Linked DNA regions of Arabidopsis thaliana. The protein of the gene in region 2 interacts with the protein of the main gene of each other region in a pairwise test. Each region holds a gene or a part of one and is shown on either strand. Other genes may lie near its edges.

Region 1 (6,272 bases), on a different chromosome or scaffold from region 2:
AGATCTGAAAGCAAGCAACATCTTGCTAGATGAGAATCTGATTCCGAAAATATCTGATTTTGGGTTGGCCAGGATATTCCCGGGGAATGAAGATGAAGCAAACACCAGAAGGGTCGTTGGAACATAGTATGTAACTCCATTCAACCATATGTTTACATCTTTTTTTTCCATTAAGAGTCCTAAAACCGAGAAAATAAATGTATCGTGCAGTGGCTATATGGCACCTGAATATGCAATGGGAGGACTGTTTTCAGAGAAATCTGATGTTTTCAGCTTAGGAGTGATACTCTTAGAGATTATCAGTGGAAGAAGAAACTCACATTCAACTCTTTTGGCTCATGTGAGTCTACTTTAACTCGTAAAGTTTCTTAACTCTCTTGAGATTGTCATCAAGCCATCAAAGCTTCTATGTTTCATAGGTGTGGTCAATCTGGAACGAAGGGGAGATTAATGGTATGGTAGATCCTGAGATTTTTGACCAACTTTTTGAGAAAGAAATACGAAAATGCGTTCACATTGCGCTTTTGTGTGTGCAAGACGCTGCTAATGATAGGCCAAGTGTTTCTACAGTGTGTATGATGCTTAGCAGTGAGGTTGCAGACATTCCAGAACCGAAACAGCCTGCTTTTATGCCTAGAAACGTTGGTTTAGAAGCTGAGTTCTCTGAGAGCATTGCTCTTAAAGCCTCTATCAACAATGTCACCATCACTGATGTCTCAGGACGTTAAAACCTGCAGAAATACAAATGTATGTGTAATTCGTGAAACTCTTAAGCATTGCCAGAGAATAACATATCATGTATCCATATAGATATGGTTATTTCTTATCCAACTAGTAATGTACAAGAAATTATTTTCATATGACAAATTTCCCACTGTACGAAATCAAATATAGCAAACAAGAATCATCATTTCTTAAAAGAAAAATCTCTTAAGCTTTTGCTAGTCCTTATAGGAGGAAGTTCCACAGATGCAAGAACAGGTTCTGAGCTTTCATGCGCAAGAGAATGATGTGTGGAAGTTTCAGCTTCTTGGTGTTGAGACTCAGGATCCCAAAATTGGTGTTCATGATGACCATGACCAGAGTATCTAGGAGAAGGAGAACTTGGGTAATTTTCAACGCTCCGGTTATTGAAATTGTGAAGGAGATGGATTGGAGATGAGCCATGTGTTGGTGTGGTTGGACGGCTAGAGAAAGGTGTGTTGGATCCCGAGTGTCTTCCGTGTTTCGTCTCGTTCTTTGCAGTGTGATGCCACTTCTTTAATGCCGTGGCTACTCTATCGTTGAATACTGTTGGCTTCATTTTACTACCCATCTGCACACAATTTTCATTCAACACAATGTAAAAAAAACTAAAGATCATATAACCAAAATCTGGCATCCATGTAACACTAATGTTTTCTAGTACCTGAGTAACAAGTGCATAGAGTGGAAGAGTCACATAGCTGCAAAGTATCTGCACAACAGCTCTGCAAGATTTATAAAAAGGGGGATTATACTTTTTCAGTTAAAGGACAAATTCTCAGAAGAATCAATAGTCAAGATAATGTTAGCTTACCCAACTACAAGTCTAATGACCACATCTGCAGTGCTTTCATGGAAACAATTATTGAGATTGAATTCATACTGCAAATACAGAAAATTTATGACATAACAATTAGTATAGCCCGTAACAGCGATGTTTTCAAAGAAAATGAAATGGCTCGCTTACCGTACTCCAGGCAAAGAATGCAAGTTGAAATGCATTCTGCAAAGATAAGAAAATTTATTCTACCGTTAGGAGAAAAAACCCGAAAAAGATCGAAAAAACGAGCGGTGAAGGATACAAGTATTGTACCGTAAAAAGGACCAAGTGAATAAGGAAAAGAATGAAGCGTGGCTTGCCAAACCAGAAGAGGTCATCACCAGGCTGAACCACTGGGGCGCCTCTCACCACATCACCTTTCTCTTGGATTCTTAGACCCAATTTTGTTATTATGACTTCAAGCTTTGTTCCAACTATTAGAATTACCTGCAGTTATATATTTTCACTCTGTTACAAAACTGGCGGCAAAAAGACAAAATCGGTTCAAGAGTTTGTTTGTACTTACGACTAGTGGAATGAATGGTAACCAGAGGTAAGAACGTAATCCTGTTTCAAAAGAAAACCGATGTCACTTTTGTGCGACTATTGATGCAGCTAAAATGTAGTTTTTGCGAGTAAGCAATGAACGTTACCATATGAATTGGTCAAGAGGAATAGCACAGCGACAAACCAGATAACCGGACTGCATAAAGTTGGCAGAGATTTAAGATAAAATATCCAAATTGGCTTTGCTCAGACTTTATAAAGCAATCATTATTAGATCCAAACCTGATTTCAACAACGGTTTTGAAGTCTTTCTCTAATGATCTCTGAATATACTTGCGGAAATCGAATCTTGATTCGTTACCGGGAGCAAAATGCGCCTGAAATATGTAGAATGTTAGATCATTGTCTTTGAGAGATACATGTTATAATGAACAATAGATAAAAAGAATAAATTCCATACCATGATGAAACCATGTCTTAGTGCTAAGTAATCAACTTTGGTGACAGATCCAAAGAACTGTCTAAAAAAACAAACAATCCATAGTGTGACTCTCGTCTTGCTCCAGAAATTGAGATGTCTTCTCCCAAAAGATGTGTCCCTCGCAAACCTGAACCTCTCAGGATCTGCATAACAAGACTAATTCATTCCCATTCAGGTCTTTAAGTTTCGTCGAATACTCACATATTTACATACCGTTGGAATACTGATACTCTATTGTCTTTGTCTCTTCCTCCCACGACTTCCACGTCCTCATCTGCAATACTCAAGAAAACAAGTATAAAAATCTTTTGCATACACTCTTTTTCTCGCCTTAACAACTGCGTAAGTCACAAGAAATGTTAGTTACCTTGATCTTTCCGAAAGCATAAGTAACAATGCAGTAAACAACATGAACAACCGCGAGCACGAAGATGAATATATGCAGCTGGTGGATTCCATAAGCAGATACAAAAGCCACTTTCCCCTGAGTAAATCCATCAATAGAAATCAAAATTCCATCGGTTTAACAAGCAGAGAATGATTTTTATATAGAGAGAGAAGGGAGATTATTAGTTACCTTCTCTGCACATTTGTCATAGCCTTTGGTGGCTAAACTTCTTCTATGGATATAAGATTCAGCTAACTCAAGAAGAAGTCTTCGACCGGGTTTATCTCCATCTCCATCATCTTTCTTTCCGGCGTCTTTCTTGCCGTATTTTTTAGCTTCTTCAGCAGCACTGCAAGGGTGCATTGTTGACGCAACTTTCTGGGAGATGCAGATATTTGAGATTGGTGTTTGTCCAATTGTGAGTAGTAGTGATATGAATCCCAACAGCATAAGCTCTGAATGAAGTTACGTAGAAAACAAAATCAGGAGCTTGTTAATGGATGAAGTTAAGTAGAAAAAGATAAGAAGCTTGTTGATAATGGATCAAGTTAAGTAGAAAAAGATAGTTACCTGCTTTGACCTTTTCAAGAGCTTCAAAAAGAGCCTGCTTGTGCTTCTTTTTAAACCACTGTTTAAGGCACAAAAAAAGGAATGATCAGATATTTTCGTTATTCTCACAGATTTAGTAGTGTTGATAGTGATAGGAGAAGAACTAAACAAATCCAAAAAAACAGAGCAGTAATTAAAGAAACAGAGCAGAAAGCAGAGCAAGAAACAGGGGAATCTTGAAATAAGGAGAAATATAAAGAGACTTACGGTTCCAATTTTGTGAATAGAATGTTCGAGGACAATCGAAATAAAGAGTAAGACAAAGCAAACAACAGCAACTGCCCACGTAGAGGTCTCCTCTAAAGTCCGCTCTTTTACTTGATCTGCCATTAGAGCTTAATCCTAAGAAAAAACCCCAAATAAGATTCTTCTAATTCCAGACCAGAGATCTTGTCTTTTTATATATAAATATAGAAACACACGAAGAGAAAGAGAGACACAGTCAGAGTTTCGTGTTCTTCTTTTGATCTAACTTCTCTCTATATTGAATTAGTACGCTACGCAATTTTGAATCTGGTCATAATATAGAGCAGACGAAAGAGGGAAGAAGAAGAAGAAGATAAGACCCGCAACGAGAGACTGTAAACTAAAGAAGGCGTTATTCGAGAAAGCTTCAACGTTTTGACTTTTCTTGTTGTTCCTCTCATGTGACGAGTGACGACGACTCCTCAATTATCAGCATAACCATTATTCTTTTTGGTCTACTTTATTTTGCTTTTTATTGGGTCAATCATCGGTGTTTTGTTTCTATTTTAAATCTATAACATTTTGGTTTCAGCTCGTTAGATTTTCAGAATAAAATAAAGCAAATTTTGAATTTTTTGATTCATTAGTCGTTTATTTTTGTTGGTATAATACTCCCATTTTGTGTACTTTGGAAGCCACTAGAGATTGTATAAGTATAAATAAGAATAACATTACTATAATGGGATCTTTCGTTGGAAAGTTCGTCATTTTGTTTTGTCTATTCCCAACTTGTTTGTTATATCTAAATAATATGCTCGTAGATACCAAGATTCAAGATATAACCATGCTCCTTTTTTTAATTTAAATTTTTACCAAAATGTAAATTTTCTATATATAAAAAAAGATATATTAATTGCTACTTGAAATTTATACAAGAAATTTCACCCATAATTGCTACTTGAAATTTGAAAATGATATTTTCCACCACCACCAATGACTGATTAAAAAATAAACTGATTTCTAACACACCTTACCACCCAAAACCTAATAAAAACTTTAAACTGTACCTCTATTTCTAACACACCCAATTAAAAGTGACTGATAAGTTGTCAAAACATTATTTTGAAAGATACATTGATGATGTGATTGTTTTTTTCTACAAAAATTTCAGTTTCGAAGTTTACCCATTAACGTGTTTTTTTTTTTTTGTTTTTTTTTTCTTGTTAATATCCTATATTTTATTAAATTTTCTTACTATCAACTGTACAAAAGTTTTATCATCCATTATACTATCTATAATGGAATTGTAATTTTATTACACTTAGATGTAACTAGAATTGTAAATATATTATTGTAGCAAACATTTGACTATTAAATTAATTACGTAACCTGGTTTTTATTTTGCCTTTTAATGAAATTATAAAAATTGTATAGTTTGAAAAATATGATACTATGACTATTTCTTATATCTTAAAATATTATTGTCAGATAAAAGAGTTTGGGATTTTTTGATAAGTTGTACTCTACAAAATATTCGAAAACAGCCTGTACAGTTGAACAGAGGCATGCAGCAATGATTAATAATTAATAGTTAGATAATTAGAATGTTAAGTGGAAAATTGTTGTATTTAGCTGACTTTCCAGTTTCCAATAGCCATCGCCCATCGAATGTTTATTTAATCAACATTCTTTAAAATAATGAGAGTGTTTTGCTTACTTGGCACGTGATTAAAGACTACTGACAGAAAAAAACAAGATTAAACATCTAACAGAAATAACATCTTTAAACTATGATTGCAAGTAGATATATATATATATATATATATATATATATATCAGAATAGTTGAAGAAATTACTGAAGAATCAATCAATATACACAAACAAAATTATAGTTTTTCTCCTTCGACAATATACGTTTAGAATTTAAACTAAACGAGATCCATATATACATTTTTTTTAATTTATATTTACTTTGATTGCATATGAGATTGATTGTACATGTACATATATGTTTATGATTATTAGTTAAAACTGATCGTGCATGTACATATATAAACTATGGAGAGTGGATTATAAGATTGTAAAAACTCAAATCTTTCTCTATAATATTTAACACGTGTTCATATTTATGACTGACACAATTGGACACAACTTAAGTTCAAAGAGTCAACAAATAACAATGCATGCTGAGGCATACATATATGTAAAAAAAAAAAAAATCGCAAAAAAAACAGATATGTAAATTATACATTATTGTTAATTGACAAACCAAGTTGCAAACTGCAACTAATCACATAGAGTTTAAAAATGTGATAATTAACGGAACGCTTAAGATGGACATGTAATTATATATTAATGAACTGAATCAAACAAAAACTAAAAACATTTATTGCTTATGTGGTTGATGAGATATTTGTTTTAAGCAACATGATCAAATGAGAATGTGAAGACGTGTTAGTCACATATGAATATGATTTATAAAAGAATCTAAGACGACATAAATGACTAGATGGTGGAAATAATGTGAGGCATCTTA
Region 2 (5,682 bases):
AAGAAGAAGAGAAGCCTTATTGCAGTATATGAGCAGCAAGGACACGTCATTTTCTGGAATTAGACAAATCAAGTTCACGTTGTAACTTGCCTTATTTGTCTCCTTCCTATTGTAATCCCTGCCACCTACCTGTTCCTCCTCCAAGGCTCCAAAACACAATTCACGACAAAACATTTTGTATGAACTCTTTTCTTTTGACTCAGAAAATGTTAGTATTTCAGTAAAATAGATAATATGAAAAACATAAATTATTAGTCCAAACTCCATTCAAATATGATCCTGAGGATACCATGTGGGTCTTAGGCTGGCTTGTGGTGCTTCTTAGAAGTTAGAACCCTCCAAATATCGCATTACTTGAGACCACTAGTTCCATTTTGTCGGTTCGATCACAGGCCGGGCTCTAGCCGAAGAAGATTATGGGTCAAACAAGTACTAGAAATAAAACTTTGTCGACTCTGTATAATTATATCGGCCCAATGGGCTTTTTGGGCTCTGAAGCAGTTGGTTTCCCTGGTTTAGAGGCTTTGATGAAACAAACTTGTGAATCAGAAATTTGAATCTATTTCATAGCGAATTTTGAAAACCAAGAATTCCTAAACAGAAATGTGTTTGTTGAACCGGTTCTAAACCGAAGAGAGAAGAAATAAACACAGGAGTATACAAACTTCATATGTAAAATATGGGATGATGAATCAACAGTTAGAATTTTGATAGATTCAAATTTCACTCGGTGTTGAAGTCTCTGAGGCTCCATTTTCGGATTTGGGTTTGAGTTCGGGTTCCGGTTCAATGCTGGTTCGTCGGTTTCCAACGTTCTCGATGAGCCTAACCAAATCAGACATCTTTGGCCTCTGATCTGCTGCTTTCACAACACAGGACATTGCAATCTGCAACATCTCAACCATCTCTTCCTCTATGTTTGTATACCTCAGAAGCTCGATGTCGAATACTTCTGCGGTCCATTCCTCTCTCACTACTGAATGTACCCATCTAACCAAGTGGATGATCTCGTCCCCTGCAATGTCCATCACAGAATGATCATTAAACCGAAAATATATCAGCTGAAACAGTCTAGTCACTTCGGGTTGTAGCGTTACCTGCGGTAGTGTGAATGGGCGATTTTCCCGTGAGTAGTTCGAGTAGAACAACACCGAAGCTGTAAACATCTGACAATTGAGAAGACTTCCTTGTGTCGGTTACTTCTGGTGCACGGTAACCAGCTTGCCTCGATATCGGTGGAGCCAAGGGACTCATTACAGCAGTTAATCCAAGATCAGAGACACAGCCATTACTCTCGGAATTCAAGAATATATTCGAAGATTTGATGTTCCCATGGACGAGTTTTCCATTGTTTTCTTTGTGGATACGAGCAATCCCTTTAGCTGCGCCAATAGCTATTTTCATTCTTGTTTCCCAGTCTAGAGGAATCCTGTTTTCTCCTCTGTTACCTGAAAACCAAAACATTTCAACTCTACAATGAGCCTAAAGCAAATGGGTTTGATTCTGATAGTAGTTATGATGCATTAGATCAAAAAGTGAAACGTACCATGAAGCAAAGAAGCCACACTTCCTCGGCTGAAATAGTCATAAACCATTAGCTTCTCGTCTTTAGAGTAATAGTATGCCTTAAGCTCCACAACGTTTTCATGCTTAATACCTCCAATGATCTCCATCTGCTGCTCGAAATCACGTTTCCCAGCCGCAACATCCTTAAGACGTTTCACAGCAACAGAAGTTGCATCTTCAAGAACTGCTTTGTACGTCGTGCCAAACGTGCCTTTACCAAGAACCTCAGCAGAAGCTCTCAATAGATCCTCAAGATCAAAAGAGTAGTTACATCCTTCAAAGAACGATAACCGGTTGTTCACATCTTCCATCCGAGAAACAAATTTCTCAGGAGACATCCCACCTTTCTTCTGCAACTTATTATCCGAAATGACCCCATCACCGCGTCTTAACTTCCTTCTTACGTAACAAACAGTCAACACAAACGCCAAAGCCGTAATCACCACAATGGAAACAGCAATAACAATCAACAAGAACACCGTCTCGGATAGTCCCAAGAAGCGAGCTTTCGACGGTTTCTGATGAGTCTGCTCGCTAGGTGGTGGCGGCGTAACGAGGGTGTAGTTACCACCAGGAGGAATAATATCAATGCCTGTATAAGACGAGAACGGGAACCTTCGAAGCCAATCTGGTATCGGTCCAGCAAGATCATAATTGTTGGACAAGTCAATGTGCTGCAGACTAGAGAGCACACTCAGATCAGGAATATCACCAGAAAGCGTATTGTTAGCAAGATTTAACGACTGAATCCGCTTAAGACGAGACAACGAACTCGGGATTGTCCCGTTGAACCCGTTGTTTGAGAGATTAACACTAGTGAGATTCTTCCAAACAGAGAAATCCAATGGCAAAGGACCAGACAAGTTGTTATCCTGAAGATAAAGAAAGGCCAAATCTTTCAACTCAACAAAATCCTTAGGAAACTCGCCGGAGATTAGATTGGATCTGAGACTAAGAACTCTGAGAGCTGAGAGTCTGCTTATAGTGTTTGGAGGAATCTGACCATTGAGTCCAACGCCTGGTAATCTAACGGCTATGATTCGAGATCCGTCTTGATTACAAGTAACTCCGGTCCAGATGTTGCAGACTTGAGAAGTCTCGTTCCAGTTGAGTGAACGAGTTGGTTGCATAATGGTAAGAAACTCAAGCAATGCGCGTTTGTCTTCTAATGGATCTGAGTTTGCTCCATAGATAATCAAACACAGAGAGAGACAGAGACTCCATAGATAAATCCTCAAAGCTTCCATTTTTTTGAAAGTGAAAAAAACGAGCTGTTTCTTTTTGTAATCTGGAGCTGGAGAAAAACAACAATCAAAAACCAATTTAGCTCAATTTGATTGTGGTGATGATGATGATGGACATATAAATGGTGAAAATTTGTGAACTTTAATTTAAAATAAAAGGTACCAAAAAAGCGAAAAGATTACAGATTTCTAGAAGACTGCTGATTATAAAAGCAAAAGTGGAATCTTGAAGTTGTTCTATGTGACCACTGGAGATTTTAAAATACAACAGGAGTGGGAGACATAAAAAGTGAGTAACTTTAAGCTTCGAAAATGACGAAGCTTTAATTTAAACTCACATAAACCCTAGAATTTCTGGTAATTAAAATTGTCGAAAAGTAGAACCCTAACTCTACTACGAGATTAAATTTATTAAAAATAAAGAATTGGTAACCTCGCTTTTTTCCAGATCTGAACTTTATTGTCGGCTTAGTTTCTTCTCGAGAATCGAATCAGCTCTGGAGTTTTTTAAGAACACAACTCGAAATTAAGAGGAAGAGAGAACAACTTCTTCAATTACGCAGTGAAGATAATGTGAAGAACCGCCATTGAAGCACTTGTGAAGTTAAGAAGAGCTTGTGATTTTCAAGCAACGGATATAATTTTGTTCTTATTTTTTGGCATATTAAAGTGGGTGAAAGTGACGAGGGAAGATACTGATGCGACTCTATTGTTTCTTTATACGGTTTACAGGTTGGTGACCGGTGAGTCTGTACGTACCCGGTTATTTAATACCGAACCGGGGACCATTGAACTTTTTAATGCCAAATTAAGGCTGTATCTTTCAATTTGTAATCGATCTTCGTTTTACAAAGTTCGATTCGTTCTGAAGTAATGTAAATTAATCGGAACATTAGCTATTTGTTAAACCGGTTAAGTTTTCTGAACCGAGATATACATAACCGGTTGTTTAATTGGTCAACGCTAACAAAAAGAACGATATAGTAATTAATTATGTTAAGAAGGAAATTATTTAACTTACCAAATGTATTAGGCAAATACGTTTTTTTTTGTTTTGTAGTACTTGTCATAATGAAGCTCAAGGCATTTAAAGCATATCGACTTCTACCATTTTAATAAAATTCTTGGTTTCTTTTTGGCATCAATAAATATTCTCTTTTTATAATATTACTATTTCTTCGGTGTATTAAATATTTGACCGACGCAATTATAGAATTTATAGTGCATCATAATAGACCAATAATTTTCAAATCTTTCATGATTATTATGATGATTTTACACCATCTTACCACATTGAGAGGCAATGAGTATAAGGCCATTAAAGCATTTGAATCTATAAAGATTATTTTATACTATAGTTTTGTTCCTATACTTGAAATATGTACCCAAAAAAATTAGCTTATGGTCTCAGAAATGGTTTATTCAAGAATTGTCAACCATGAGAACAAGAAAGCTTTAAATCTACATATACATTTTTGCAGCCATTTTGTGAAATAAATTTTGTAGTTGAGATTTATTTACAATAGCTGCCACTGGATTTTAATGTTTGTTTTGATAATTAAAAATAAAATTTTTGAATTAAATATTTGAAAATCTTCCCGAAATCTCTCTACATTAACTACACGATTAGTTACTAAAATAAAACTTCCAATATATTTAATATCATTGAATTACTACAAAATTATTATTTTTGATATTGTTTTTCTACATGACTATAACAATTCGATTATAATCATCAAACCGCACAAATATTTGATAGCATTTAATTACTACAAAATTACAAAATATTTAAACAATGATTCATAAACATATCATAAATGAGATCAATGAGTTTTTTTTACGGGACAGGTTGGCGGGACGGATTTGATAGGACGTTACTTAATAACAATTGTAAACTATAAAATAAAAATATTTTATAGATAGATATAATTTGTAAACTTTTATATATACTAACTTAAAAAAATAAATTGTCCCCGCGATATACCGCGGGTTAAAATCTAGTATTATTGAAGATTTCATCAAATAAGTACAAACTTCAATATAGTATATAACATTGTCTTCATACACAAGTTAAATCTCGCACAAAACCAGGAGATCTAGTCACTTCCTAAAAATGGGTGACCTTTTCAAATCTCAGGTTTCCTTTTAATATTTCGGATTTTTGATACCGACGAATCACACACACTGTGATGTTCTATAGACTAAAACAAAAAAAATAGCCCACAAGACAAGATAATGAAAGACACAGAGTTTGTGATAACCGGTACCGGGTTTTAGGTGGAAAGAACAAGCGAGAGATGTAATTTCCCGGTCCATTCTTCACCCGGTTTCAAGGTGATGGGTTTCTCAATGGCTGCTCCATCCACACACAACATGTGTCTATACTCATCATCTCCCAAATCCGTCAATGCTCTCGCTTTCTTCTCCCATGGATTCCATACCACTGCAACAAACCGAGAATCTAATACTGTTAAAAACTGGATTCTTGGTAAAAAGGGCGGTTAAGGTTTTCGGTATTTGGATCTTACCGACATCAGGTAGACCTTCTTTCTTGATGAGGAATGTGCGTTTTCTCTCATGGTCGAAAATGGCAACCACGTCTTTAGAATTTAGGTACACTCTATCGATCTCTGATTCAAAGGTTAATGCATCGCCTTGCTCTGTGAACCGCTCTCTATCATGCATATTATCAAGATAGTCAAGAGTTTCCAGCCCTTCAAGTCTAACTTCACTGATAAATACCAAAAGAAAAGAGAATGTATTGAGTTCTACGTTATATTATGTGACAGCAGAGACTAGTAGAGGCTAAATTCGGTGTTTCACCTAATATCGGAAATGGAGAAGTAAGTGTGGTAAGCAATGGAAAAGCTAA

The links.
Region 1: the proteins of AT4G23740 (region 2) and MLO2 interact in a protein complementation assay, tested with the Arabidopsis thaliana proteins (one large-scale study listed by BioGRID).

Annotation. Positions count from the first base shown.
Region 1 is NC_003070.9:3,799,992-3,806,263, forward strand, and holds MLO2 (Seven transmembrane MLO family protein), read right to left. Parts: upstream 4,243-6,272; 5' UTR 3,880-4,242; coding exon 3,757-3,879; intron 3,705-3,756; exon of another isoform or gene 3,569-3,704; coding exon 3,511-3,568; intron 3,396-3,510; coding exon 3,130-3,395; intron 3,037-3,129; coding exon 2,920-3,036; intron 2,827-2,919; coding exon 2,766-2,826; intron 2,696-2,765; coding exon 2,532-2,695; intron 2,449-2,531; coding exon 2,354-2,448; intron 2,268-2,353; coding exon 2,218-2,267; intron 2,132-2,217; coding exon 2,091-2,131; intron 2,012-2,090; coding exon 1,838-2,011; intron 1,748-1,837; coding exon 1,712-1,747; intron 1,627-1,711; coding exon 1,559-1,626; coding exon of another isoform or gene 1,555-1,558; exon of another isoform or gene 1,470-1,554; coding exon 1,409-1,469; intron 1,316-1,408; coding exon 908-1,315; 3' UTR 729-907; downstream 1-728. Other genes in the region: AT1G11303 (G-type lectin S-receptor-like Serine/Threonine-kinase), read left to right, coding at 1-126, 211-340, 420-728.
Region 2 is NC_003075.7:12,364,194-12,369,875, reverse strand, and holds AT4G23740 (Leucine-rich repeat protein kinase family protein), read right to left. Parts: upstream 3,795-5,682; 5' UTR 3,244-3,794; intron 3,026-3,243; exon of another isoform or gene 2,861-3,025; 5' UTR 2,814-2,860; coding exon 1,547-2,813; intron 1,449-1,546; coding exon 1,098-1,448; intron 1,016-1,097; coding exon 717-1,015; 3' UTR 538-716; downstream 1-537. Other genes in the region: AT4G23730 (Galactose mutarotase-like superfamily protein), read right to left, coding at 5,084-5,271, 5,339-5,541, 5,634-5,682.